4 linked regions of the Lytechinus pictus genome follow. The protein of the gene in region 1 purifies or fractionates together with the protein of each later gene. This does not show direct contact. Links are inferred from orthologs where the notes say so. Each region holds a gene or a part of one and is shown on either strand. Other genes may lie near its edges.

Region 1 (6,874 bases):
CATACATGTATGAAAGTCATATTCTTTATGACATGTAAATATGTTCATTACTATTTATGGTCGTAATTTTCTTGATTTAAGTTGAATTTTGTGTTGATCATGTTGTTATATTCTTAATAAATACTTAATTACCGGGTATAAAAAAAGTTTCCCTTCCCTTGCACTTGCTCGCGATCGCCCAGCCCTCTATCTCTCGTCTGTCGTCTCTGCAGGCATGTGGGGTAGAAAAATATGTGGAGGAAAATATTTTGCTGCAACAATTGAGGCCCAAGGTAGCGGAGGCGGAGCGACCAAGCAGGGGATGGGTGTGGCCCTGCGTGACGCTTTTTGAATTTCGTATGACAAATGGTGCAATTTGAAGCATACTTTTGATGACATTTCTACATACTTTTTGAGTTGGTAAACTGTACAAAAAAATAATAGGGGCCTACAGTTCTGTAGTTATTGAGCCTAACATTAGATCTAGATGAAATAGGCCTAGCTAGATCTACTTACTTACAAGGTCTGAAAGTAAGGCTGTAACCAATTTTTTAATCTGCTCCCGATTTTATCAGATTTTACCACAATCGGCGATCACCTTCCGATCTTCGATCATGCCCCTTGAAGGAAAAAATCGTATATAAAAAATCGGCGTAGATCTAGTTTTAATACAGTGCGTGATCGTTCAGAACATATTTTTCAAGATTTTTTTTGAGGTGCTAGCTATTTAGAGGTCGCATTAATCAGGGAGAAAGACGTGGTATTATCTGACGATGTTTACGAGGATAGATATCTTCTCTTCAACCTCGTGGTGATAGCGGACGCCGCCGTGAACTTTTAAAGGTCGCATTATTGACGGAGATCACTGCTCTACTCTCTTGAATCGTTTATGATAGACATCTTCTCTTCAACCTTGTGGTGATAGCGGACGCCGCCGTGAACTTTTAAAGGTTGTATTATTGACGGACATCACTGCGCTACTCTCTTACATCGTTATCTTCTCTTCAACCTCAATTTATTTGTCTTTGCAACTTCGTCGGGAGATGCTTCTTTTCTATTTCTTCTTGGATATCAAAAGTTCATTTCTCAAGATAGTAATAAATTGATTTGAAAACGCTAGCTCCTCACAACATTTTAATAACATGTTCCGAATCATCGCGTGTGCTTGCGACTTCTACTACGTTTTAATTTCACTTGCGACTTTAAGATACAATGCGTCGTATGAGATCAAGAGATCATTCCAATAATTCTACATCGCTAGCACCTAAAAATACTTATAAAAGATGTCCCGCCGATCGTTCATTAACCTGTGATCTATGAATAATTATTTTCATTTTATTTTCCTTTGCGACTTTGCTCGGAAGATGTGTCATTCGTTTATCTTTCTAATAAAAATCACTCGGTTTATTTCAAAGCAGTAACACCTCAAAACCCTTTTTAAACATGTTCCAAACGATCGCGCATGTTGGCGACTTCCATTTCAATGCATTCGTCTTTGTGACTTTGTCAGGAAGATGCGCGCTAATACTACTAATACGTTGGCTTTACGTACGGGCCAACAATTCATCAGTCTATGTATTGGTGAGTGGAGCCAACGCAGTTCAGCAGAACAACCAAAATACAGAGACTGAAGCGTTTGGTATAACGTTAGACTTAGGCTGGACCAAAAGATTCGGTCTCTGTTATATTGCATGTTCCACTGAATTCTGTTGGCTCCACTCACCAATTACAGAGACCAAAGTTCTAAACTCGATCTGTACGGGGACTCAAAAGGCCATATGTTTATGTATTATTTAAGTTCGGATAAACCAGGGAAGTGGGAGTTGCGCGACAGCCGAAGTAAGTCACTGTTTTTTCCCCTTTTAGGTTTATTTTTTCCCGTTTTGGTGCATTACAGGCCAAAATGGAATAATAATCTTTATTTTGGTCCAGTTCTTTTTATATTATATATTTAAATGAAATAAAGACAAACATCGATGAGCCCCGTCAGGGAGATTTCGCATTGTATACCCCCTAATGGCGGCTGCACGATCGCGAGCTGTCTGTGTACGAGGAGAAATAACAAAAAATAAAAAAATGTTAAAAAACTCCTCGAAACAGAAGGCTGCCAGTGCCAGCTGTCTAACTCTAAGTTAGACTTAGGCAAAATGAGCGGCCCGTCAGCAAACACTAGCGGGCTAGGGTCCCGGTACTACTACGGCGCTGTCCCATTGCACATCATCGACATCACGACACATGCGATGAAAACCAGCTCATACCTTTTTTTGCTAGACTCGAGTCTAGAGTGACTAGACTATTTCAACAGTCGTTTTTACAAATATCGCCTCAAAAAGGCTCAATTACGTACATTTCTACAGAAAATTACGCATATATTTTAATGTCTGTTTTGCAAGGCTAACAATAAAACGGAAGAAATAGGAGGGAAAAAAAGAGGAAAAATAGAAAACGCGGAAAAGAGCAAAGAAGCGCGGAAATGAATTTTAAAAAAAACGCGGAAACCTCACACATGCCTGGCCTGGGAGAGTCTCTGCATGAATGACTTACACAATATGAAATTTATGGGACTACACTTTACTTTGTGGACCAGAAAAAGGTCGAATATTATTCCCATACATTCGAGTATTTGAATCAAAATATCAAAAATAAACGAGACATTCTACAATAAATAAGCATGACATTATAAGATGCTAAGATCACTTACCTTATTACTATATTTAACGGTTTTAATCCAGACAAGAATCTGCCGCTTTTCGTTGACGAAACGCCACCATACATGCGGCGAAGATAATAGTCTAAAACATAAGCGCGTGCATGATCGATCAACAACGAATTGTTAAAGTGGATTCCATTTCAAGCCACGACCAATATCTTATTTTGTTTTCGTAGATATGCAAAGTCCAGTATTTAAAACTTCTTTGCCTCAAAACAATTGTACTTCTTATATTTTGTATTTGAATTCAAGTCAACCTGATAAAACGTTATTACCGCGACATTGCTACTATCAAAGTCTCAATTTTTAGACTACCAATGAGCGTTATCGAACGTCATCAAACAATACCTAGACTCCCCTGGCCACCCCCCCCCCTTCCAAGTTCGATGTCTAGCTATGAAAGTGTAATCTTTAAAGGACAAGTCCACCCCAACAAAAAGTTGATTTGAATAAAAAGAGAAAAATCCAACAAGCATAACACTGAAAATTTCATCAAAATCGGATGTAAAATAAGAAAGTTATGACATTTTAAAGTTTCGCTTAATTTCACAAAATAGTTATATGCACATTCTGGCTAGTATGCAAATGAGGGAACTGCAGGTGACATCACTCACTCACTATTTCTTTTATATTTTTATGAAATATGAAATATTCTAATTTTCTCCTCATTGTCAAGTGATACAATGATTAATTCCTCCCTGAACATGTGGAATTAGCATTGTTTAATACTATATGGTTCAGTCAAGTTGGTCCTTATTGTCAAATCTATAAAAAATGAAATATTGTATAATTCAAACAATAAAAAACAAAATAAATAGTGAGAGATGGACATCATCGACTGACTCACCTAGTTGTGCATATCACTGTTTTGTGAAAAATAAGCGAAACTTTAATATGTCATAACTTTCTTATTTTACATCCGATCTTGATGAAATTTTCAGCAATATGCCAGTTTCATTTTTCTCTATTTATTCAAGTCAGCATTTTCCTGGGGTGGACTTGACCTTTAATTTCATCAACCCCCTTGGCCATCCTTCTTTCCTCTTATGTTCTACCCGCCCTAAATTTGGGGAGCGGCGATGGTGCGCTTTGTGCCCCCCCCCCCCCCCATAATTCTGTCGGCTTCATGTCTTCATTTTTAGAGGATATAGCTCTTCAGTAACTTCTAATCTTAGTTTTTAAAAATTGCTGTGATCATATTGTGATATTTGTAAAGTTGAAATTTGTTCACGGTCAGCCATTGTTTTGCTTCGTTTAAATATTCAGTCAAAGATAGAAACCAAAGTAGGCCTAGAAAACATTAGCTCTCGACCGGCAAAGAATATCAGGGGAGGCCCCAGCATTCGGCGGGGGGGGGGGGGTTATAATTAACAGTGGTATGATGTATGTAGGCCTAGCGTTACGCCTCCTTTGATAATCCCAATTTGTAATTTTGTATTTCCCCTTAATTTATCCTTTTATTTTCCTAATTTTATTCTCAACATTCTGAATAGAGTAAGGCTGCAGGTGCGCGCCAGGGGGGGGGGGCGGTCCCCCCTCCAAAACGTCCCCAAAAAGAAGAAGAAAAAAAAGGGGGAAAAAAGAGGAGAAAAGGAAAGGCGAAGGGAGGAAATGGAAGAAATGTAGCTTTGTGGGTTTTTCTTTTTCTTTTTTTTTCTCAAAAGAATTAGGACCTTAACGAAACCCCTTCACTCTCGCTCTAAGTTTATAATGATTAATTTTGCATACGCGCTTCGCGCGGTTAAATTACAATATTGCAGTTCTCCTTTGTTTCCATCACCCTTTCTCTAACCCTGTTTTTCCACCTCGGCTATAGGACTAGTGTGTTCCTATAGTTAAAGTTCAAGTATGCATTAGGGCATGGCATTAGAGTAAGGTTAGGCCGAATTATATGAAGTTATCTTCTTCTTTCACGCAACATTTCCGCACTGGGGGGGGGGGGGGGGGCTCCGGGCGTGTAAAATCTTTATATCAAATTCTGCCGTCACCTCCATATAGGCCACTTCTCCCGCTTTTCAGCTAGTTACTAAACATTCATAATTTGGGGGCAAACAGGTTTCTAATTTAATAAGAGGATGGTATAAAATTCGTGTCGTATTGAATAAAAAAAGAACAAGGTTTTTATCAAATTTGATGAAACTTCATGTCATTTCCCTGCGCATTCATCTCCTGTCTTGTTTTGCGCCCTCCATGGGCGGAAATCCCAGGGGGGACAGGGGGGACGTGTCCCCCCTACTCAAAATAGTAGGGGGGACACAATATCAAATGTCCCCCTACTATTTTTGGTCTTTTATGATGGCAAGAAATACATCATTCTTAATCGAAATAAAACATTATTTTGGGACGAGTTGGGTCGAGATGACCTTACTTTTGGGATGATAACCTTTTTTTTGCTTGTCAAATTTTCCAGCCCCTTGTCCCCATAGGCGGATCCAGGGGCCCGGACCCCCCCCCCCTGAATTTTCAGAAAACCTCGGAAATCGAACTTTCATTATTTTGTGTGATTTACAAATTGATTTTTAAAAAGTTCTCTGTAAATTTTTTTAGTTTTATGGTCTGAATATTTTGCTGCTTGCGCTCCGCGCTCACAAATTTTGATTTATCAGGTACCTATTATTTTCGTGTATTCCAAATTTTTTCAAAATATCCCTTTTCAGGTCTGATTGTCAAGACGTATCAGCTAGCGTTTCATACTGCCATTTTGATTGGCGAATTATGTATGTTTCAATATTGATTATACAACTAACTACTTAAATTCCCCTTTTCATGACAGTTTATCAAAAATTTTAGCTCGCGATTTGCGCTCGCATTAATGGTTAAAAATATATTAACTGATGCATCCTATTCATATTTACAAAAGTGAAATGTCCAGTTTTTATGCCATAATATCATCAGATTTCGCGCCCTCATTAGGCATTAATAAATATATTAATTTAATAATTAAATTGTCCCTTTTGTTTCATCTCGCGCTTAGGAAGATAGTCATCATTTTCATATGATGACATGTCATAAGGATGTCCCGGGGAGCGTTTCATGAAAGGACTTGTCGGACGTTTTATCCGACAAGTCCTGTTTTATCCGACAGTAACTATAGTAACAGTGCTTCTCAACCAATCAGAATCCAGGAAAGTTGTCAGATCTGACAACTTGTCGGACGAAAATATTGATGAAACGCCCCCCAGGTCCTATGTAAAAACTCAAAGTAATAATAATGAAAATATCAGCTCTTTTTTAAGTGCGATCCATATCCACCTTACAATTTTCCTACAAAGTGCTTAAAGGAGAATGAAACTCTTGGAGCAAGTTAGCTTTTGTGAAAGCAGAAAAATAAAAAAATAAGGTCAACAAAAGTTTGAGTAAAATAGGACTAGCAATAAAAGAGTTATGAGCATTTGAATGTCGAGATCACTAATGCTATGGAGATCCTCCCATTGGCAATGCGACCAAGATCTGTGATGTCACACACGTACAACTCTCCCATTTGGACACTGAAAATATACCCCAAAATATTTATTTTTGCTCATTCTAATCATATGACAAACGATTCATCAATGATATAATGTTGTGAAACCTCTGTACTTGTCATCTCATAAAGAGAACACCTCACCTTGTGATAGACTCTATAAAAGTGAGAATATAAGTGAAATAAGTACTAAAGTAATGAGGGAGTTGTACGTGTGTGATATCACAGATCTTGGTCGCATTGCCGATGGGAGGATCTACATGGCACTAGTGATCTCAATATTCAAATGCTCATAACTTTCTTATTATTCATTCAATCTTCCTCAAACTTTGAACAATGTGTTCCTTTGATTTTTCTCTTTGATATGGATTCAGCTGGTTTCAAGGGTTTCATTCTCCTTTAAAATAAAGCTGAAATTTACTTTTTTTTCAGATCGGAATATCAACGTTTCATGATTTTCATGATTAAAGATGTATTTAGAATGCCTAGATTCTAGGTCTAAACATGCTAAATATGAAACACGCGCGCGCATGTTTATATATAAATCATTATCCAGTTTCAGATCACAATATCAACAATTTTCTGCTCGCGCTTTGTTCTCGCATTATTAATGTAGGAAGACCCCCTGTTACTCATCCTTTTCATGATTTACAAAACATGAACAGAGTGGCCCATTTTAGGTCTAAATCTCGATTTTTTTTCTCGCGCTTCGCGCTCGCATC
Region 2 (6,874 bases), on another chromosome or scaffold:
AAACCATTATCAATTTTGTTAGAAAATTATTAATTAACCCATTAGTTCCATACCTGCTGCCGAGCCGTGCCTCTCTCCTCTCGAGTCTTTCTTGAAAGCAAACGAGATGGTGATCGCCCTGTTACACAGATACTGTCCATTCATAGCCTCGATGGCTGCGTCCGCTGCCTCAAAGCTGGCGAAGTTGATGAAAGCGTATCCCTTGGAGTTCCCGGACTCCACGTCCCTCATTATCTATGAGAGAGAAAGAGGAAACTTAGTATTGTTCTTATTTTTTTGTTTGTTTAAATATAATACTTTGATTAGTTTGTTTTTTGTGGGGAGAGAAAAGGTGAGCATTCAATAGTGGTCCATATAATAATGAAACACGATGTGAATCATCAACATTATGAAAGGTAGGCCCTTTGGAAGAATTAGATTTTCACAAAATATTCTGCAACTATTATCCTCATCCCTTATCCAAGTTTGAATAGGGAAAAATTGTTTGGGGTAACCCGATCAACCTTGCAACCTTGGTAAAACCTGCAGAGTGCAGACTAATATTTTTCAAAAATTCCAATTTGAACCCCCCCCAAAAAAAAAAGAGAAGAAAAATGTGCCAACAAGGCCCAAAAAATCCCTAATTTTCATACCATTTTTTTTTTTACAATTACACATTCTAAAGCGATAAAAAAAATTATAAATTGGCAAATGACAGTAGAACATCCTCCATATTCTGAACAGAAGACACTTGTGCCTAAAAAACCCTCAATCTCCATTAAAAAAAAATTTAGGAACTCTTTTTTATACCCGAAAAAAAAGAGAAAATACTTCAAGCATTAATAAGAAATACCAACCGACCCCAACCTTTTTCCCTTTGACGCAGCAAACCATTTTTTATGGCATTATATGAATGTAAATCAAGCTTTACCTTTGGTGTTTGTAAGATGACGCCAAAGGCACTGAATGTATCATACAGGAGCTTCTCATCAATCTCAGGATCTAGGTTACCGATGAAGATATTCGCTCCAACATCCAGGTTCTTCTGATGGGCCGATGCCTAATGAGATTTACATGGATCTATTAGCCACACAATATCATTGAGTGCGAGATACACAGCTTTCATGAAGTCAAAATTAATCCTGTTTTGATCTTCAAATTGTTAACAATCATTTATTTTCTACTCATTTTCATACTTAAAATAATGATGAAAGAAACGTTATTTTGAATAGTTGCCAATTTGCATTTTCAAACACTGATTTGTTATTACTTTTATTGTGTTGCCGATTTGGAGTGTAATGATTAGCTGGTAAATGGCTTTTATTCAGGACAGACTGTACCTTATACTGCAACGGAAATGATCTCATTTATTTTTAGGACATTTGTTCTTTCTTACCACATTCCATGTATCATTGCTAGCAAGCCATGGCGTGTGTTCCTTCAGCAAGAAATTTATCCACACTGTGCATGCTGCACTCAACCCAGGTGAGGTAAATGGATATACCGGCAAGAAGTTTTCCTCAAAAAGCTGTGTGCACCAGAATTGGTAGACTAGCTTAGCCGGGGTAATATAGGAGCGCCTTGAGCACCTAGCAAGGTGGATACGTGCGCTATACAAATCCTATATTATTTAAATATTATTCTAAGAGAAACGGCAAAATTGTGTCCTACAGGAGAAATTGTACTACCCATAGTTATGATAGCTTTGTGTGAAGAGCATATATTAATATTACCATGGAATAATTTTGCTTTACAAATTTCAATAGCATTTTTTGGTCATTAAAGAGAAAAGCTCTCAACTAGTAATGCACAGTCCTATGTAAAAATATGCTATACAAATGACTTCATGTGCAGCAATCTTTAAAAAATGTGGAGCAAACTGCGATGCGACACCAGGAAAATTATTCCCTGTATTACCATGGCAAAGCATTACCCTTCAAGACCAATGTGTGTGCAAAGTCTTGGCTGTGAGCTGAGGACATATTCTAAGTCAGTGGTGATCTTGGTCTCACCCCTATTTTGTCTACTGCCAATTTGGTTGCAGCCTGGATGATCTCATCTAGGCCTAGACTCATCAAATTTTATGTACGATCAATTCCTCTGATGACCTCCCGGTGGGTGTTTCACAAGTTACAAGAGAATTTATGAATGAGTGATGATCCATTATTGTGTTAAATGATATACACTAGAATTGCATCTATAGGTGTTGATATAATTCCTAAGAAAATATCACCGGTCGATCGTAAGGTAGCTGGTAACTTACAAACAGTTCTATGATATACCCATCTTGTCTAACTGCCACTTTGTCCTTTTTACCATTACGTCTAAATTCCTATTTAGGCTAATATAGGGGACAATTCAATTTTCTCTTTACATACAGCATCCAACATGGTATCAACTTACCTTATTCACTCTGACCGGTTTACCATAGAGCTTTATCATGTTCAGCACCTTGATGGCATAATCGGCATCCTCCTCCCCCATGAATTCCACAAAGCCATAACCCTGATGCGACTGGGTTACTCTGTCCTTTGGCATGTGGGTGTTTACTGAATGAAAAAGAAAATTTGGAGATGAGGTTGCTACTTAATACTAAGAACTACAAGTACATGTTTGCTGATTTCTTGAAAAAAAAATCAATTGGAAATCCTTTGGCTTTACACAGCTTCTCTTGTCATAGTTTCCATTCAATTTTCAATTTCCTATGGCTATTAGTGGATGTATTCTATAAATACTCATACTTCTCATTTACAGTATATAAGGGATGCGATTATTGTTCTTCTATTTGACATAGCTTACTCCTAACAAGCCATCAATAAGAATTCTAACTTTGTGTTTTCACAATGAAGACACCTTCATTTCTTCAAATTACAGCCCTCATTTCATTCCTTATAACAAGACTGAGACTTACCGACAGGACCGGCCTGTAGGAAGAGTTCCCATAGTAATGCCTCTGTCACCTTCTCATCCAAGCCTCCGACATAGACGGTAGCATCTGGATCATCAAAAAAATGACAAGCAAACATCATTTGTCATTTTCTTCTATAGTAATAACAACGCGCCTCAGAATAGAATAGTTCTAGATAGATGGCGCTATATAAATGCCTATTATTATTATTATTCAACTCAAATGTAACACGATGATGAATTGAATTGAATTGAATTGAATTTATTAGAACTTCACTGGCAATTGCCAGTATTTTGTTCATAACAAGGGCCCGAATTCACAAAGGTGGACTAAAGTTATACCCGGGGTATAAAACGCGTCATTTGACGTCATTTTAATCCATGGACTAAAGTTAGCACCTAGGGGCTAACTTTTGCGATTCACAAAGGTCGACTAAAGTTATACCGGGGTATAAAACGCGTCATTTGACGTCACGACTTAGTCAGCTCTTTGGGGTGGACTAAATCGGTGGGTTAAAGTTAGTCCACTGTTTTAACCAATCAGAGAGCAGCATTTCGATTGCGGAAAAGTTTGCTGCAAGAAAAAAGTTTTTTGGACAGAGACGAGATTCGGTGTGATCGGCTTATCTAAAGCTTCATATTTCACGACTTCGACCGAGATTGTAAGTAAATTACATAATTGTTGGAGCTTAAATCATGACGGAGCCTTCAGTTCCATCTGTAACTATTATTGATAGCTTTAACTTTCCAAAAGGTATACTCGAAAACTTGAAATGGTATCTGAATCATTGTTATCGTCGCGTCTCTAAGCTGCTCAGTCCCAGCCATGTACTTTTGTGTGCGTTCATATCTATGAGCATTGCAGTGCGAGACGCAATTAGCATACACTACACAGGCCAGGTAGGCGTGATTGAAAGGTCGATACTATTTGCTAGTTATGTCAGGCAGTGAGTGATTTTCGATTTCGTGTGATTTTCATGGATTTTTTGTTGTCTACGATACCCCTGCCACTCCTCCTGGCCCTGCCAACACAGCTACTGTGCATCTAATTTTGTCTGAGACTGAAGCAAGGCCAAGGCAAGTCCAGGAGAGCAGCAATACAAATAAGTTTTTTTTTAACACTACAATACAGAGCCGGTCTAACTTAGACATTCTACTCTGGGCTGGCTTTGTCTTGGCTTGGATAGATGGTCAAGCTATGAAGCTTACCTGGTAGCCATGTTAGAGTTAGTCCTACAACATCGTTGGAGTAAAAAAAATATTTTAATAAGGGTCAACTCTAACTTAAGCCTAAGGCTAAGCCCTGATTAAATTATTTTTTGAAAAAATATTTAAGAAAGATTGGGTTCCACTCACCGCTGTTTACTCCAACAGCTATAAATGAGCTGATTTTACTTTTACTAAAACTAAGTTTTACTGACCTTCGGCATTGCATTTGCGATCACTTATAGATTTACGGTGTCGTCAAAACATTAAAAAATAATGGAAATCCTAGGCCTAATTGATTATTTGAGTAGATCTAACTGAGGTCTAACTTTGAAAATTCTCTCTTTAGGGGGTTATTATAAACTCTACCCCACCCTCTTTGTTTCAAGTATTTTTTTTTCACAAGGAGTCCCAATGTTATATTCACATGAGACCACAGACAAGTGCATTTGATCTTCAGTCCTCTACATTTGTAGTAGACCGATAAATAGGTTTATTTCTGTCAGGGATATGCTCCCCTGAGATTTCATGTGGCTCCGCAGCATCCCGTCCCACCAAAAAAAAATCAGAAAATGTTGAACGACTCCTCTGAAACAGCGGATTTTATCAATCTACATTTGTAGCTGCTTTATTATTTTTTTCTTTGATATACCTTGACATTGCAGTATGATTGATGAATAAATATTTTTTTCATTATTTTTTTTCTTCCATATCAGCAACAGACCATACATACTCGGCAGATTGTGCTCAATCAAGACAAAGCAAACATGGCTCCAATTTTGAACTGCTGTGCCGTCTTGCAAGAGAGTGAGGTATGCCTTATCAATTCATATTTTAAAAAAATTAAATGTCATTAAAATGGCCTTTTTTAATAAAATATTATTTCTGGGATTTGAATTCATCATGTAATTGTAAATGTATCATGTGACATGTATGTTACTTTTTCATTCTTGTCATAGTAATTGACAAAAAAGAAGAGGGGGGGGGACCTTGCTTGTGTGTTATTAACATATATATTTGTCTACTGGTCACTAGGCTTGTTGATCTCCAATTAATCCTGACATTTTGTTGAATATTTATTTAAAAGAGAGAAAGAAAGCATTGTCAGTTTGATGAATGCCGGGGGGGGGGGGGGGGTAGAAAAAAAGGTTTAATGAGACTTTGATGAAGATTCATGAAAATATGTTATTCGAAAGTCACTCGCAAGCAATAACCTCTATTTGTGTAAACAAAGTTCCATAAAATTAGTGCCTTGCCTTCATTATTAAAGCCAATTGAAAGTGATTCAGTAAATCAGTTTTCATAGAAGCATCTCTATGACGTGCGTGGTTTGATCAATGATGATGATCAGCAACAATTGGCAGGGTTTTTTTCTTCACTTTTACAAGTAGGTAAATAGAAAAGCTACTCATGTCAATTAGAATTTTTATCCTTTCTTTTTTTTAAGGATTTCTGTATAATCTTTCACATTCTGTTCCTCATTTTAAACACTTTTGAATTAAATGAAATTCAAAGATAAATTGCCCATTCATGGTGACTCTTAAACACAATCTTTTAACTTCCATGCAGATTCAGCAACACATAGAAAGACCACAGCATGGATTAAGAGACAGGAAGAATCCATTTGAATACTACGAGGATGAACCTCTCAGAGTGGGGTACCAACAGAGAGAACCACACATTGCCTGTCATGTTACAGGTTTTGACAGGACTTTGTTTTATGTCATTGGTGAGTTTTCATGTGCGAACTGTAAAGCAGAGGGTAATTGGGGGGGGGGTCAAATTATGTTCTATGAAAGTGATTTTCCAGGCCAAAAATGATGAGATTTTGATAAAGAACAATTCGACTAGCAAAAACCATCAATATTGGATGGAGAATTATGAATTGATTCAGTTTTAAAGTTTTACATAACTTGGGGGAAACAGTTCTGTGTATCTCATATGCAATATTCATATCCCCACTTGTTCTCTAGTGATCTGAAATCATAATCATTATTTTTTTTCCTCCAGGAATGTAAAAATGGGGTTGACTGCTGATTATATATTTAAGATAGTTATTGCGAGTTCAGAATAATGTAAGGATCAAGGATTGGAAGTATCTAGTCATGAAAATTAAGTTTTATGTTTTGCTTAGCATGCAGATTTTCCATTGAGTAATTGTCGCCAGAGCAAATATCATGGAACCCTTGTACATTCATGTGTGGAAAATGTGTGGATGTGACATCATCAGGCTATTTCTTGCATATTCATGAAAACATGCACATGTTTCACAGAAATAATTAATGCAAAACCTAATATTCATTATTAATCATCCAAATTGTATGATTTTTGTTTCTGCTTTCAGCCAGGAGTACTAGTAACCCCTTACAGGGGAGGGGGAGTGTTGGGGGTATTTCACAGAAAGGTTTTTGTCGGAATGAAACATGTAACCCTTTGGGTTGGAAATAGGTGGGGATTTTATTTTTCTCTCATTTTTTACAATGTAGCAACATTTTTTAATACAAATATGTCATATTCAAGTGGGAAATTATCATGAAGGATGATTTATAACCACCCAAAAAGAAATATTGGTATGTCATTTCAGCTTAACAGAGATATTCTCCATTTTGCATGGATTGTTATTGCAGTAGAGTTTTTTTTTAATGAATCGAAGAAAAATCTCTTTAAGCAGTTCCAGTGCATCATAAACATCAGGTCATAACAGAAGCACAATGTTTGCAAACGTAAATGGTTAAGTATCAATTGGCTTTCATATCAATAAACCAATTACATAACATCACTT
Region 3 (7,008 bases), on another chromosome or scaffold:
TATCCGTCTTATTTTAAAGGGGTTTTGTGAATTAAATAGTTTATTAGTTATGCATCTGTGTTTGTTACTTCAGATGATTTTTATGTCATTTTGTTATATTTTGTATAATTACTTGTACTTGTATACTTGATTGTAGTATGTAGTTGTAAACATAAAATGTGTTCGGTTCTAATCTTATAGTGAAACGATTTAGTAAAATGATCTTTAGAGTGAAAGATTTTGGTTAAATTGATTTTGGTTATTGAATTGTTAATTCAATGTTTCAGTTTTGTGTCTTCAGAGTAAAGGGTCACAATGATTGCTTACTATGTGTAATAATTGTTACTTTCCTTTTAAAGGTATTTGACATGACATTCGTGTAGCGGGTGAGGCTCTCACCAGAGGAAATATGGTCCTCTAGGCCAGATTGTCAGGGTGAGTGGTTATCATTCATTAACCACTGTATTTCAATGTTAATTTGTTGGCATATTCTAATTATTGTTTGGTAAATTTCACTTGATGGATGTATTTCATTTATTTGTTGGAAGAGTTATCCATAACGATGGAGGAACTGAATTTGTGATTAGATGAGTTGGATTCAGGCAATATTGATTAAGTTTAATGAATGGATATAGAAAACATGTTTATCATTTATTATTACGAGTCCACTTGACGTCATATTGATGAATGTTTATCTTAGAGTCACAAGCAAATATGTGTATATTTCTATTCTGTGCATTTTTTTAAACATATAATTCTATTTAATGGTTTTGTTCTTATTGGTTTTTACAGGTTTTTTCTATCTTTTGTTCTTGTACTTTGAATTTTGTATGTAACGATTCATCGATATTAAACGAACCGAAACACAAGGAATGGTGTCGTGTGTCATCTTTCTACATCAGTTTCCGCGTGTTACACTAAAATGTAGATTAATTTTTCTAAACTACATTGTTTTTTTAATCTAAAGAGATAACTAAGGTTTTAAAACAGTAAAAATACAGATAAAATATGGGTTTTCTTACCTTGGAAGTATTTTCCACAAACAAGGCAGGCATACACATTCAAATGAGACAAGGAGACTGAACAGAGCTTCTCAAAATCAAAATCCAACAAGCTCCTGTATGACAGAAATAACAAATTCAACACTGTGAAAATAAAAAGCACACATTAGGACTCACCCTGTAAAACATATTTTTACATTTACTATGTTAGATTGCAAGTCCTTGTTTATTACCTTTCATTTTTATAAATACTTTATATAGCTCTACCAGGGACTACATATATACAACACAGTTTCATTTTACACTTCATTCTTCATTCACTTTCTGTTATTCTTCCTTGAAGAAAAAAAAATCACATGTTTTAACAGTAAAGTAGGATATCGCAGACAAGGTCAAGTCAACTTTTTTCACCTTGCCATAATAATCAACACTTTGATTGTGGGCATCAACGGAAAGACAATTGTCTCGATTCATGATTGTGACTAAATGTTGTTAGATAAAATAGGAATTTGGCATTTAGTGAAATGAGTCCAAGTTAGTGTATCAATTCACTCTTTTGTCACAAAGGTGAAATAAATCATTTTCTTTCTATATCAATAGCATGACACAGTTACATGTACATGTAATGTAGCAAGTGATGCTGCCCCATCTCTATCTGAATATAAATTCATTATATATACACAATGTCAATGGGAAGACTATCCAAAGGATAACAGAGCTATGCAGGCCATATCTTTGACTTTTCTTAAACCAAAGTTTTGTCACTCCAGCCGTGTTTCCTTTTGTAGTTCACACCTGTTTATGGTGTCCAGATAGGGGCAACTTCTGCTCTTGTCTTCTCTTTGTTGCTTTGGAATCTTAGACGGAACTGTTGAATGAAATAAAGAAAAAGTATATTTCATCACAAGTTGGTCACATGCATGTAAAAAATGTAAGAACGTTGTCAAAATCTATCTCAAACTCAAAGTTAGATTCTCATGAAAATCTTTTTCTTGCTCTATTTGCTCACTGTGGACTTACAAGTTACATTACATAACTTTTATTTTCCACCAGGGCATGTGCTGTGTCCCCTCTTAATATATACCCCTGTTATGCCCCTGCACAGACTCGTCTACAGATTTCAATATTTATAAGCATCATTGTAAAATTATGACAAAAAAATAATAAAGGCCAATAAGCCTAGACTAGAGTAGAGACTCGCGAGCGTCAGGTGACAACTCGCCTTGGATTTGCATGTACATGACCCTATTGCGACAACAGCCGTCGCGAGAGTTGGCCAGAAGAGGGGATGAAATCACCAAATTTTTCAAAAAAAGAAATGGCGAGTAGGCCTACCGATTTTATATCAATTATCAATATCATAATTCATAATCGTAGATTAATATAATAATAATTAATAATATGACAGACAGTCAAAGAAGAAGTAAGACCGAAATTTAGAGGACTTGGCTGGCATTTAACGACCAAACTCACACCCGTTTGACTCACTTTCTCAACACGAAATTAAATAGGCAAATTGCCTAGACTCTAGAGTGGTGCGAAACTGCATTAGCGCCCAATTCAATTGCAATGTGAACAGCTGCACTAGCCAACTTGAAAAATAATGGAGTGGGACCAAAGTGAATCTAAACGTTAAATTAATAATGGCTTTCCGAGGATATGAATGATACTATTGGTGAATTTTTTTTTAAATTAAATATAAAAAATAAAGATGATAAACTCAAAGAATAGATACCGTAATCATCATCACTATCGTCATCATAGCTTGCATCGACGAGGGGTCTTTTCGCATTCTGCGTGGAAGTCGCCATCTTTTCTTTGACAAGTACAAAAGCGCCATCGCCGTTCGCGTTTGTACAGATTATGTTATTTTGTATACTCAGTGTGAAAATTCCAAATAATATATCTAGTATTATTATACATCTGGGGTGGTATTCTGAAAACGTTCTTATCTTTGTTCTTATCTTTGTTCTTATCTCAATGAGATAAGAAGACGCTAAAATCATTGCAAATCGGTATTCACCAACGAACGTAGAGGGCAGCAACACACAAGCGTGTTGCTATAAGGAAGGTCAACTCGATACGCGCATGCAGCTGAGCTGCGCGCGTATTTTATTGTTCATGCCTACGAAATCAAATGCCGATCCAATACAACAACAAATTAGTAGCGATCAAAAAACGAATATGAAAGAATATGACTACAACGTATCAAAGATAACTTAAAAAATATGTTGAGGAATATACATACATATAAAAACATACTTTGATATTTAAAACTTTACAAATATAAGTTTCAAGAAACTAAAATCATTACCAAATCGGTGATTGTTGTTATCAGCGATTTCACCAGACGGCTGTATTAGGTGATTTGCGTCGAGACGATTTTGTGACCACTCGCAAAGCATTTCGGGATTGAATATAACCACCTTATTTTCTCTGAGCTCTTCGCTGAACCCATCATCACAGTGCAGCTGCAGCGCAGCGCGCAGCCAATGCAATGCATCCGATGCATGGGTTGTTTTTTCGCCGTCCATGCCATGGTCTCGGACTCAGAGTTGAAATTTAGACCCGGATTTCGGGGATACAGCGCCTTTATTTCAGATTTATAGACTTAAAAGTCAAATGACATTTAAAATTTGAAATCTAACCTTGAACAATCATCGTTGATAAACATCAGCCCTGAAGCCATTACACTTCAAATCAGGCCAGGCAAATTAGATGTCATTGTCTAAGTTGCTAGATCTATGACGAGTCGCCTGAAGCCCCAGCGCATCATCAACGTCACTAGCTAGCTGCGCGACCGGCCCAGACTGGGCGCACCCAGGCCAGAAAAATGACCTCGATTATTACGGTGGTTGTCTATGCATTTATTAGTGGTGCAGCGAAATTCAGCAGAAGAAAATAAGAGATATGAGGTATCCTCGTCACAGGCTTAATATTCCAAAATGAGGAAAAATGTCAAAATCATGATTATTTAAGCTAAATATTTTCTTTAAAAATGTAAGTAATATTTTTAATATTTATACCCAGAATAACCAATCTAATAATTGTTCATTAAAAAATATTTGAAATTAACAAATGAAAAAAAATCAACTCGACAAATTTCCCAAAACCCCACCTTATTTTTTAAAGTGGTCACAAAATTCGAGCGGAGTTGACCTTCCTTAGAGCAACACGCTTGTGTGTTGCTGCCCTCTACGTTCGTTGGTATTATTCTGAAAATCTTCTTAACGCGTTCTTATCTCTGTAAGGACTGCCTCCTTCTTATCTTCAACACGCCCATTTTTAGGATATTACCAATCAAAATGCGTGTTATATTGTAAGTTTAACCAATAGAAGCGTTCCTTGTGTGAAGAGAATATCATGGGCGCTGCGCGTACACTGTTTGTGGCACATTGCGCGAAATAGGCATTTTATACGCAATGACTGATTATTATTTCGAGACACGTGCACAAAATAAAGAAACAAATTAAAGAAAAAAGGTAAATAAAGCAAATACGAATAAAAAATTAAAAAAAAAGAAGACAGTAAAGGGTCAGAATGAAGCACAAATAAAAAAATATGAAAGGAACAAAGCAGAAAACAATGAAAAAAAGAAAAGGTAAACAAAAGAAAGCAAGCAAAAAGAACTTTAAAAAAAAAGAAAAGAAAGAAAGAATAAAGAATGAATAAAAGAAAGAAAAAGGAGGAATGAATAGAACGATTATTAATGATAAAAAGAGGAATAAAAAATGAAAGAAAATAAAGAAGGAAAAAGAAAGAAACTTTACAAAAAAAAAACCAAAAGGGACAAAATAAAAAGATTACAAAGGATAAAATGAAAGAATACAATAACCTTAAGAGAAATAGAAAAAAAAAACGAATGAAAGAAAGTAATCAAAAGAAAAAGGAAGGAATTAAAAAACTGTAAAAAGTAAAGGAAGAGAGAAAAAAGGAAAATAGACCAGAAATAAAGAAAGAGAGAGAGAGAGAGACTCGGAGAGAAAGAAAGAAAAAAGGAAGAAAGAGAAAAGATGAAAGGATAATTAAAGATAAAATAAAGACTAAAGAAAGATTGAAGGAACGAACGGTAAAGCAATAAAGAAAAAGAACGAAAAAGGAAAATAAAAAGGCGGGAAAAATAAAGAATGAATGAAAAAAAAAGAAACGAATTAAGATTGATGGAAAGAATAAAGAAAAAAAAGAATAAAAAATAACAAGAAAAGATGATAAGAGAAGGAGAAACAAAGAAAAATAAGGAAAAAATAAAAAATTAAGGGAAGGAAGAAAAAAGGAACAAACAAAATGAATAAATAAAACAAATATAAAGACGAAAGAATGAATGAAAGAAAGAAAAAGAATGAAGAAATAAAAAAGATAATGAAAAAAAAATAAAGTGAAGGAAGGAAAAAAAGGGGGAAGAAAGAAAAGAAGAAAGAGGGGGGAAAATAAAGACTTAGTAAAGGAAAAAAGGAAAACAAAGAAAAATAAGGAAGAAAAGAAAAGATTCAAAAGAATAAAACAAGAGATATAAATAAACAATGAAAGAAAGGAAGAAAGAGAGACAAACAGAAATGAAGAAAATGAGAAAATAAATACAGAAAGAAATAAGAGATAGAAAAAGAGACGGGCAAAATAAAGGGTGAATTAAAGAAAGGGTGGAAAGAATACTTGTTACTACCAGTGGCCATCGATTTTGAGAAAGAAAGAACGCGGACATCCTGAGATGTGATAACCCTCTAGCTATCTTAAATATTATCATAAATATCGTAAAGAGATAAGAAAGATAAAAGATAAGAACGTTTTCAGAATACCACTTATCTTTATTTTGTTCTTATCTTTTAGCGCGCTTTTGTATCATATGCGCGAATTATAAATTTACGCGCTCAGCATCGATGGAAAGCAAGATAAGAAAAAGATAAGAACAAAAGATAAGAAAAAGATAAGAACGTTTTCAGAATACCAATTTGAGAACGTGACGTAGATAAGAACAAAATTAAGATAAGAACGTTTTCAGAATACCGCCCCAGTTTATCTATTCATTTGGTGTGTTGGCAGAGATAGAGTCCAAATATATTTTAATTACTATGACTACAATCAAGGATGACTCAAAATGATCGATCTCCAAGCATTTGCACTTGCTCAGAAAATGACATTTACATGTACGTATACTTTTCCTTGAAAAGTTTCACAAAGACCCAAATATTTTATGGAATTCATAATTATGCTCCAGAAACAGTTTTGCAATCGTTGGGCAACACCGGACCCAAATAGCAGATTCCGGACTCGGTACAAAATTTATATAGAAAATGACACCTTGGAAATATTTAATTGTAAATTTTCTTATTTATTGGGTCTTGTCAACTGAAACAATGTGGTTTACCTTGAAGTTACCTTGAAGTTACCTAGATGGCCACATCTCACTGTCTTCACGACGAGCCGTGTACAGATGAGTGTGGCATGGTTTTAAGGAGGCTAGCTCTTAGAGCCCATTTAAAAACCCAATTTTGATAATGGTGTCTTAAATTGCAGGAGTGTTGGTGCCTCAACTGTGGACTGTGGGATTTTATTCCATTGGTTGACAACCCTTTGGCTAAAGAAGTGTTTCCTTATATCCAGTCTAGATCGTCATTGCTTGGCAAATTTGAGAGAGTGTCCTTGTTCTGGCACACTCTACTCTCTGGAAATAATTGTCCGGGTTTGATTTGTCCATTTGTGTAATGATTCGGTATGTTTAATCGATCAATAAGATAAAAATCCCCCCCCAAAAAAAAAAAAAAAAAAAAAAATTGTTATCAAATCCACCTCTTTCGGGATATTTAGGCCTATTGTTATTTTAAGAATAAATTCTGGATTTTGATAGGCCCCTATCTCTCGAAATGATAGCCAGGAGAATTTTATATATATATATATATATATATATATATATATATATATATATAGAATATTGCTTGTGAATGGCTAGAAGATCTTGTTGATGTTGATGTACATGATACAATTATTACTAAACTACTGTGTACATCCTACGGATACAGGTGTATAACGAAGG
Region 4 (7,455 bases), on another chromosome or scaffold:
ACCGGCAGGTGCATGCACCTGGTGAACACCCTACTCTTTTGACGAATAGTGTATTGGTTTTAACGTGCATAGGTTGTGACTCTCGTATACACGGGACCAACATTTGCGTCCTTTCCAATGGACGGAGTGTTTTCCAACTGCATTCACACCTGCACTGAACACAGTGGTGAGGCACACTTACACACAACGCTATAGCATCTGATTTTTTGTTAGATGCGTTTCGTGATGGTTGTTAGTAAAACTATTAAAAATTGCAGTTGCCAATAAGATCTGACCGGGGGGGGGGGGGGGGGGGGCACTGACAAGTGGATACCATGCGTGACCATGGGGTTTCGAAAAGCATTTTTCAAGTTCTGAAAATGTATGCCTATAACAAGTGCAAGTACATGTATTGGCGTGTGAAACCCTAACCTTAACAAGTACTGGAAACAAAATGGTGTAGTGAGTGACTGTATTACCGACCAGCCTTGTATTACCGAACGCGCGCATCGTAGCGTCAGAAAATAATTTCATACGCTCAAAGCCTTGCAACTTTCTTCCAAAGGGAACTTGAATAGAAAGATGATGAAAAATGGTCAAAAACACATTTTCAAAGTATTAATATTCTAAAAATAATAAAATATGGTAAAAGTAGCTCATCACTAGACACTTTTGTTGTTTTCTCAACTTATCCCATAGAAAACACATGTTCGGTAATATACAATACTTTTTTCAAGTGACCAAAATATTTCACATGCGAAGAGGGGTCCGATCGATTGGAAGCTAATATCGTAAAAAGGTAAAACGATTTCGGCAAAATTTTTACATATTTATATTTTGTAGGTAATTGTGTATTTATGGTGAAAGTTTGGGGTGAATTTTGTGAGAGTAATGTGTTCGATATCATACAGTATGATTGAATTTGAATTCATGATAAGTGTGCGGTAATACGATTACGATCCACTTCCATATATGTATACCTGACTGTCCCGAGTATTCCTGAATTGACAACCTAAAGTAAACAAGTCATGACAAGTTGACCTTGAAGTAGATGATCTACAACGATATATTATTCTTAATTTTTGTATTCTTGACTTATGACTACACTGAGGGCATGTAATAGATTTTCAAAGAATACATTGTCATTATTATTTAAGGATGAAGAGTTTGTGAATTTGTATCACCAGGCATAAGACTAAGACTAGAGCAAAAAGAGACATTTTGGGGGTATTTTATAGTCCATCAAGCTCAATCAAAGGGAAAGTTGTTCACATTCACACATCTTTGACTTTGTCGCATATTTTTGCCAATGGCGATGCCATTGAATTGGCCAATTAAATTGGGAGGATCTCCATGATAGCACTGCCACTAGCCACTAAGTTTAGCATGCAGGGGCCCGTTTCTCAACACCGTCATAAGTCTAACTTCTTGACTAAATCGGAGATAGTGAGCTACTTGTCCGCTAACCGTTTCACGAAGCCCTCTTTACCAAGATCGGGTACAACAACCTCACTAAATATTTATGACACATCCGAACCTGTCATAACTTCTTTCTTTATGACGTAGTAGCATCACGTGGGTAGACTATGACATGCAAAAGTGCCTAGAAATTTTAAAATTATAATCTTACGTAATCAATCATAGAGGTTAAAATCACATCACAAAACAAGTGGGATAATGCATTCAATGATAATTGTAATACAAATAAACTATATAAACTGTTGGTAAAACGCCACAAAACTATTCATTTTGAAATAGTAAAATGATTTAATCGATAAAGATTCTACCACGTCAGGCCATCCATAACTGAACTCGTATTTGTTGTTTTCAGACCCCTATTAACAGTTGGATGAATTCTAATTTCTATCTCTAATTTATGCATATAATTTGTCCAATATCGTATCTTTCGGTATCAATGATTAAAAATGTTTCGTTAAACTATATTTTGATGACGTTTGGAATCGTAAAAGTCCGTATAATTATCACCATTTTACAAAAAAAAACGTTATGGTTTACTTTCGTAAACTATTAAAATTGGGTCTGCCGGGCCGGGGGTACCCATCTCAACGTCCACAAGTGATTTTTTAGTCATGAAATGAATTATTCATAATTTGATTTTCTCTGCAATTGAATGCTCCAGTCTTCATGGTCTAAGTATGTATGATGCATAATTCACCTGTGCTATTATTTTGAAAAGATTTTTTTCCCAATTCATCATAATATTTGCAATTTTGTCATATCATATTTATAATTTTTCTTTTTGAAAATTATGCTATTTTGTGACTAAGGCTACGTCTCGTCTGCTCTTTTTACCGATAGTATCGATATCAAGGTATTCTAGTTAGGAAGCCTTTCGAGAAACAGGTTTAGTAAGATTGGAACTAACTCCGTGGTTGGTGGATAAAGATATGCCGATAAGGCGATACATGTATATGACTAACTTGTCCATGTGTTGAGAAACGGGCCCCAGGGCCTTCACAAAAATCAGCACGTGGGACCACAGCACACAGGCACGGAGTAACTAACGGTCCGAGAGCACATGATTATGATAAGAAAATTACCTGCCCTCCTATTGTTATGTCAAAGAAAACAATAGGGTTGGTTGGGTTTGAAGCTCCCGTCGTCATTGCAAACTTTTTAGGACAAGCTTAAGCCAGAGAAACGTGATGAAATTGTGTTCCAACTTCCAAGGGCAAGGTTTTAGCACACCACCACTGCATGCACTAGCCACTCTCTCACGCGCGGTATCGAGGTCGAGAGCGTACGGTATACCAAAGGTGAAGGCGGGTACGGTGATCACGAAGCTGCTGGTTAGACCACTCTAAATGAGCGCAAAGGACCTCAAAGTTAGTAGTTACTGATATCTAGACTCTGGTAAGTAAAAAAAAAACAACTTGGAATTCTAACTTAAGTTTTATTTAGGCCCTAGGTCTCATTTTCATATGCAAGTAATGAAAGAAGCTTGATTTTACCAAGAATAAGATTCAACTACCGGTATTCGTATCATGATATTGTAGTTGGTCTTGGATAATAAGATACTCAAAGTTAATGCATACCCGAATCGGGATAGCGTCGCAATTAAAGAGGCGAAGTAAAGTTTTGCCTGTGATGCGGTGGGTCATCAAACCCTGTGCATCCCCACTAAAATTGAAAATGAAAATATAGAGAAGGTTCAGAATAATATATCTAGCCATAATATAGATTAGAACATATATGATGGGGGAGTGGAAATACACACCAAAATATGGCTTTATTCCGTCAAATTTCGAGCAGGATCTAGTGCGTGTAATTGTCCATAGACATCAGTTTATTTAACTAAGTTAGTCAGTAAAGCCAAAGGGTCTGTGAGTCTAGACTAGTCGAGCTATCGGCTGATAATCATTAAAATACCCCTTCCGGTATCAGCGCTTCTCGCTAGCATAGCGGGAAGAGGTCTTGACCACTCCTAGTACCAATGAGGTCCAAACATTACATGTATGGACCTCATAGGCGACATCAGTAGTATTTTTGGTTAGAAATCTCTGAGAACAGGATATTTATATATTATATCACAAGTACAAGCTATATTCCTTTCTCTTATTTAAATTATAATTTTATAGTGTAAATGCATCGTTAGCAACAACAAAAAAATGAAAGAAATGAAGGGGAACTTACATTTTCACGGCTTTTTCCTGATTTTCTGGGCAGTTGCTCTTCTCTTCTGACTCGCGATCGAAGCTGATATGAAGATCACGTGATTCGCGTTCTCGTCAGCTGATCGGTTGGTTATTCTTTTTGTCAGACGTTAATAATATATATTTTATAATGCTAGCATTCATCGCTAATTTAGGTGAAAGAGATTGAAGTTAAACAGCGCCAGGTCGGAATCATAATTATTTTGGAAGAGTGTATTTATACACTCGATCTCATACCTGACGTAGACGGCGCTATTCAACAAATGCACAATCTTCAATATAAAAAATAAAACAGAAAGAACGCCTTGAACACATGCCAAAATGCCTAACGATTTCTCCGCGGCATTAACAACTATCGTAAAGGGCGCTCCATTTATTAATAAAGATGGATGCATAGCTGTCTATGGCGACAAAATTTGCCGCAAATATTTACAAAGAATTTGTGAGAAATGGTCTGAAAATGCAACAAAAGAACCGGTGAGTACCGATTAAACATTATCAATTTATTTAATAGAACATATTTCATGACTAGAGTTTATTAATTTCTAGATAATATTGCTTAGTTCTAAGCTAGGGCGGCCCAAATGCGCGTGAGTGGAGTCCCAGTTTATTAGCACGGGTAAGTATTGGGGTGTCGCCTAGAGTGGTCTTGACTGCAGATAAAACGAGGTGAGTTAGAGTCCCAACTAAGGTAAGCAACAGTAAAAAAATGATAGAAAAATCTGAGATGAACGAACCGGAAGTCTCAACAATCTTGTTATTTTTGGTGGGGGGTGCATATGGAACTCTTTCCCCCTGTACCTGTATTATACTAAACAAAGTTAGTGTAGATTGAGAACAACATGCATTATGCAAAGGCATGGAAGCGTGATCATAAGGTTAATATAAAATAAAATAAAAAACTAAGACTAAGAGCATGCATGTGGAGCAGGAGTGGAAATAAGCTTGGTGGGGGCACTTGATCTCAATTTTTTTTTATGTATGGGGATGTGCCTCACGAAACCTACCTCAAGTGCCCGGGGGGGCCACTTACATTGACGAGTGGATACCATGCGCGACCAAAAAAACACGTAAAAAGGATGTCTTTTTCAAGATAGGGCACGTTACGTACGTAACGTGATAAGGGTGTCAAAAACACAAAAATAATGAAAAAAGGGTATCTATTTCGCTAGGAAAGCTAGTACGTGTTTAGGGTCAAATTTGCGGGGATGATAAACAAAATTAAAATGTTTTATAAAGGATGTCCTTTTTGCCCCAACACTACGTGTTTAGAGTAATTAGAGTCCGATTTGCGCGAGGTGTGGAAGCTGGGGCCATACTAAACCAAATGGTGTGTAAACTGTAAAGGTAAAACCGACGACCGATGGACTCGTGACATAACAATCAAATATCGCTGTACTTGTTTAGGGGTTCATTTCAGGGAATACTTGCCAAGAGTATCGTTTTGTTTCCAATACTTGTTAAGGGTAGGGTTTCAGACGCCAATACTTGTTAAGGGGTGCATTTTCAGAATTTGGAAAATACGTGTTTAGGGTGCTTTTCGAGACCCCTTGGTCGCGCATGGTATCCACTCGTCAATGGAAGTGGCCCCCCCGGGCTCAAGTGATGTTCGTGCAGGCTCCACTCCACTTCACTACCGCTACAGCCTACACTACGCTCCACCTACCTGAACCTCAACTTGAGGCTCCAGGTCCAAAACTCGCTCTGATACTCCGAGTGGCAAAGGTCGTGAAGGTGGGAAAAAATGCATATTATTGTAAAAATCCTATATACGGAAACTAGCTTAAAAAGAATAAGAAGCTTAATTTCTTACTTTTCATCCTAATTTCACTCCATATCCATCCTCCGGTTAGCCTCAAAATTGGTGATTTAGAGCCAACATCGAGTTCCTCACACGTATAAATAATTTGCTGCCGATTTCAAAACATCGCATGCGCAAGGGTCTGAGCTCAGACCCTCGTGATAATATTGAAAAAAAGAGAAAGAAATCCGTTCCTATACTTCGCATATTTTTTGTAACATCATTCCGGCCGCATTGATCCTCTACAATGAGCTGCATTTTTGGTGAAAGTGGCCTGCAGAGCGCTGTCCGACCATTGCCTATGCGCGAGCACACCCGGCGCCCGTGCCCCCGGGCTAGCTGCATGCACGTTCCAAGGACCCCTGTTTTCTCAAACATTTGTAGTTCCGAAGACCCTCCTTTTTTTTAATGGGATGGAAAAACTTTCACTCGTTACTAAGACCCCGTTCTCATTACCACCCTTAAACTAGTTTACTGGAAACTAGTTAACGTGTAATGAGAACAGTAGAAGCAGTTTTGGAAGTGATCTTCCAAACCAGTTTGGAAAACCACCTCGTGATGTTTTCAAGATCGCTTTGCTGTGTTAAACTGGTTTTAGCGTAAGTGAAGACACAACCGTTCTTCAGTTTTGAGCCTGTTACTCCACACACTTTGTGTAGAATGTCTATGCTGCGGTTTCCAATTTTGCACGAAACATGTCACCTCCACTGAGAGTGTTCCCATAGCAACAAGGCCACTTTACGTGAAGTGGTTTTGAAAACCATTTTCTGCTGATCAATGGGAACGCTAGCATTGAAGCGATCTTCTAAACTGCTTTCCTGAACCGATTCCATGTAAACTGGTTTTAGAAAGTAGGCCTATAATGAGAACGGTGTCTAACAAAATCTTTAATTAGCATAGTTAAAGGGGAATCCAACCCAAATAAAAACTTTTTTTTATTAGAAAAAGAAAAATCAGACAAGTTGATAGGTGAAAGTTTGAACAATATTGGACAAACAACAAGAAAGTTATGAATTTTTAAAAGTTGTAAATATTGGTAATCACTATACCCATGGAGACTTCAAATTGGCCGCATATGGGATGTCATAGTGATGTAAGGCAAGGACTACTCTTCCATGTACTCCAATACATATTATGGCTAAAATGTCATTTTCCCCAAAAGTTTTATTTCAAATTATATTTTTCTTTCATGGGGACATAATACAATATACTACCTGGATTATATTTAGATTACTGCCCCAGGGGAATGGGTACTTATGAGAAAACCACAAATCCCTGATAATAAAGTACATGGCCTATGGGAAAGTTGTCCTTGCCTCTTGTCATAATTTACTTACCCAGTTGCCAATTTGAAATCTACATAGTATTAGAGTTTTCAATTTTAAAGCAGCTATAACTTTCTTATTGCTTGTCCGATTTCTTTCAGACTTTCACTATTCTGTTGGTTTATTTTTCTCCTTCCCAACACAACATTTTATGGCCAAGGCTGGATTCCCCTTTAAATTGATTGAGAGAAAGGAATGCCATGACATGATGTGGTGGTGTTGTTATGTCAGAGATCATGTATGTGAATACAGTGAATTGTGGAAATAAAATTCCGGATGAGATCTTGACTTAGAATTCATCTAAATCTTTAACAATGTTAAATTGTAAACAGCTATGCTAAAATGGGGACTGTGGAAGGAAGGTAAAAGTTTTAATTGTTAACGCAGATAGTCCGCTAAATTTGACTGTAATACTAATATTTTAAAGTTTAATTTCTTCTTGACCCTAGGAAAAGAACGCAGTCATGGAGGATACTAGAATGTCCATCAATGGAGGAGAAGAAAAGCTCAATTCAGCAGCAGAAGATGCTCCAGGTCAGGAACAAGTCGATGGAGACAGAGCGGCAGAGATGAGGAAGAGAATGGAATCATGGCTGAATCAACCGATGAGGATACAGATGACAGATGGGAGGACACTGGTTGGCACGTTCATCTGCACCGATAAGGATCGAAACGT

The links.
Region 2: the proteins of 116 kDa U5 small nuclear ribonucleoprotein component-like (region 1) and splicing factor 3B subunit 4-like purify together in Homo sapiens (affinity purification with mass spectrometry; 3 studies listed by BioGRID and IntAct, with this or other methods). This does not show direct contact. The link is inferred for Lytechinus pictus from reciprocal best matches to the Homo sapiens genes EFTUD2 and SF3B4.
Region 3: the proteins of 116 kDa U5 small nuclear ribonucleoprotein component-like (region 1) and ubiquitin carboxyl-terminal hydrolase 39-like purify together in Homo sapiens (affinity purification with mass spectrometry; 4 studies listed by BioGRID and IntAct, with this or other methods). This does not show direct contact. The link is inferred for Lytechinus pictus from reciprocal best matches to the Homo sapiens genes EFTUD2 and USP39.
Region 4: the proteins of 116 kDa U5 small nuclear ribonucleoprotein component-like (region 1) and peptidyl-prolyl cis-trans isomerase H-like purify together in Homo sapiens (affinity purification with mass spectrometry; 3 studies listed by BioGRID and IntAct, with this or other methods). This does not show direct contact. The link is inferred for Lytechinus pictus from reciprocal best matches to the Homo sapiens genes EFTUD2 and PPIH.

Annotation. Positions count from the first base shown.
Region 1 is NC_087257.1:27,317,452-27,324,325, forward strand, and holds the start of 116 kDa U5 small nuclear ribonucleoprotein component-like, read right to left. Parts: upstream 3,003-6,874; 5' UTR 2,681-3,002; intron 1-2,680. UniProt on the Homo sapiens protein: Required for pre-mRNA splicing as component of the spliceosome, including pre-catalytic, catalytic and post-catalytic spliceosomal complexes. Component of the U5 snRNP and the U4/U6-U5 tri-snRNP complex, a building block of the spliceosome.
Region 2 is NC_087258.1:12,072,918-12,079,791, reverse strand, and holds the start of splicing factor 3B subunit 4-like, read right to left. Parts: upstream 3,006-6,874; coding exon 2,891-3,005; intron 2,529-2,890; coding exon 2,383-2,528; intron 1,040-2,382; coding exon 911-1,039; intron 235-910; coding exon 54-234; intron 1-53. UniProt on the Homo sapiens protein: Component of the 17S U2 SnRNP complex of the spliceosome, a large ribonucleoprotein complex that removes introns from transcribed pre-mRNAs.
Region 3 is NC_087262.1:12,999,789-13,006,796, forward strand, and holds the start of ubiquitin carboxyl-terminal hydrolase 39-like, read right to left. Parts: upstream 3,012-7,008; 5' UTR 2,987-3,011; coding exon 2,716-2,986; intron 1,849-2,715; coding exon 1,776-1,848; intron 1,097-1,775; coding exon 1,002-1,096; intron 1-1,001.
Region 4 is NC_087258.1:26,234,882-26,242,336, reverse strand, and holds the start of peptidyl-prolyl cis-trans isomerase H-like, read right to left. Parts: upstream 3,005-7,455; 5' UTR 2,607-3,004; coding exon 2,541-2,606; intron 1-2,540. Other genes in the region: N-alpha-acetyltransferase 38, NatC auxiliary subunit-like, read left to right, coding at 7,244-7,455. UniProt on the Homo sapiens protein: PPIase that catalyzes the cis-trans isomerization of proline imidic peptide bonds in oligopeptides and may therefore assist protein folding. Participates in pre-mRNA splicing.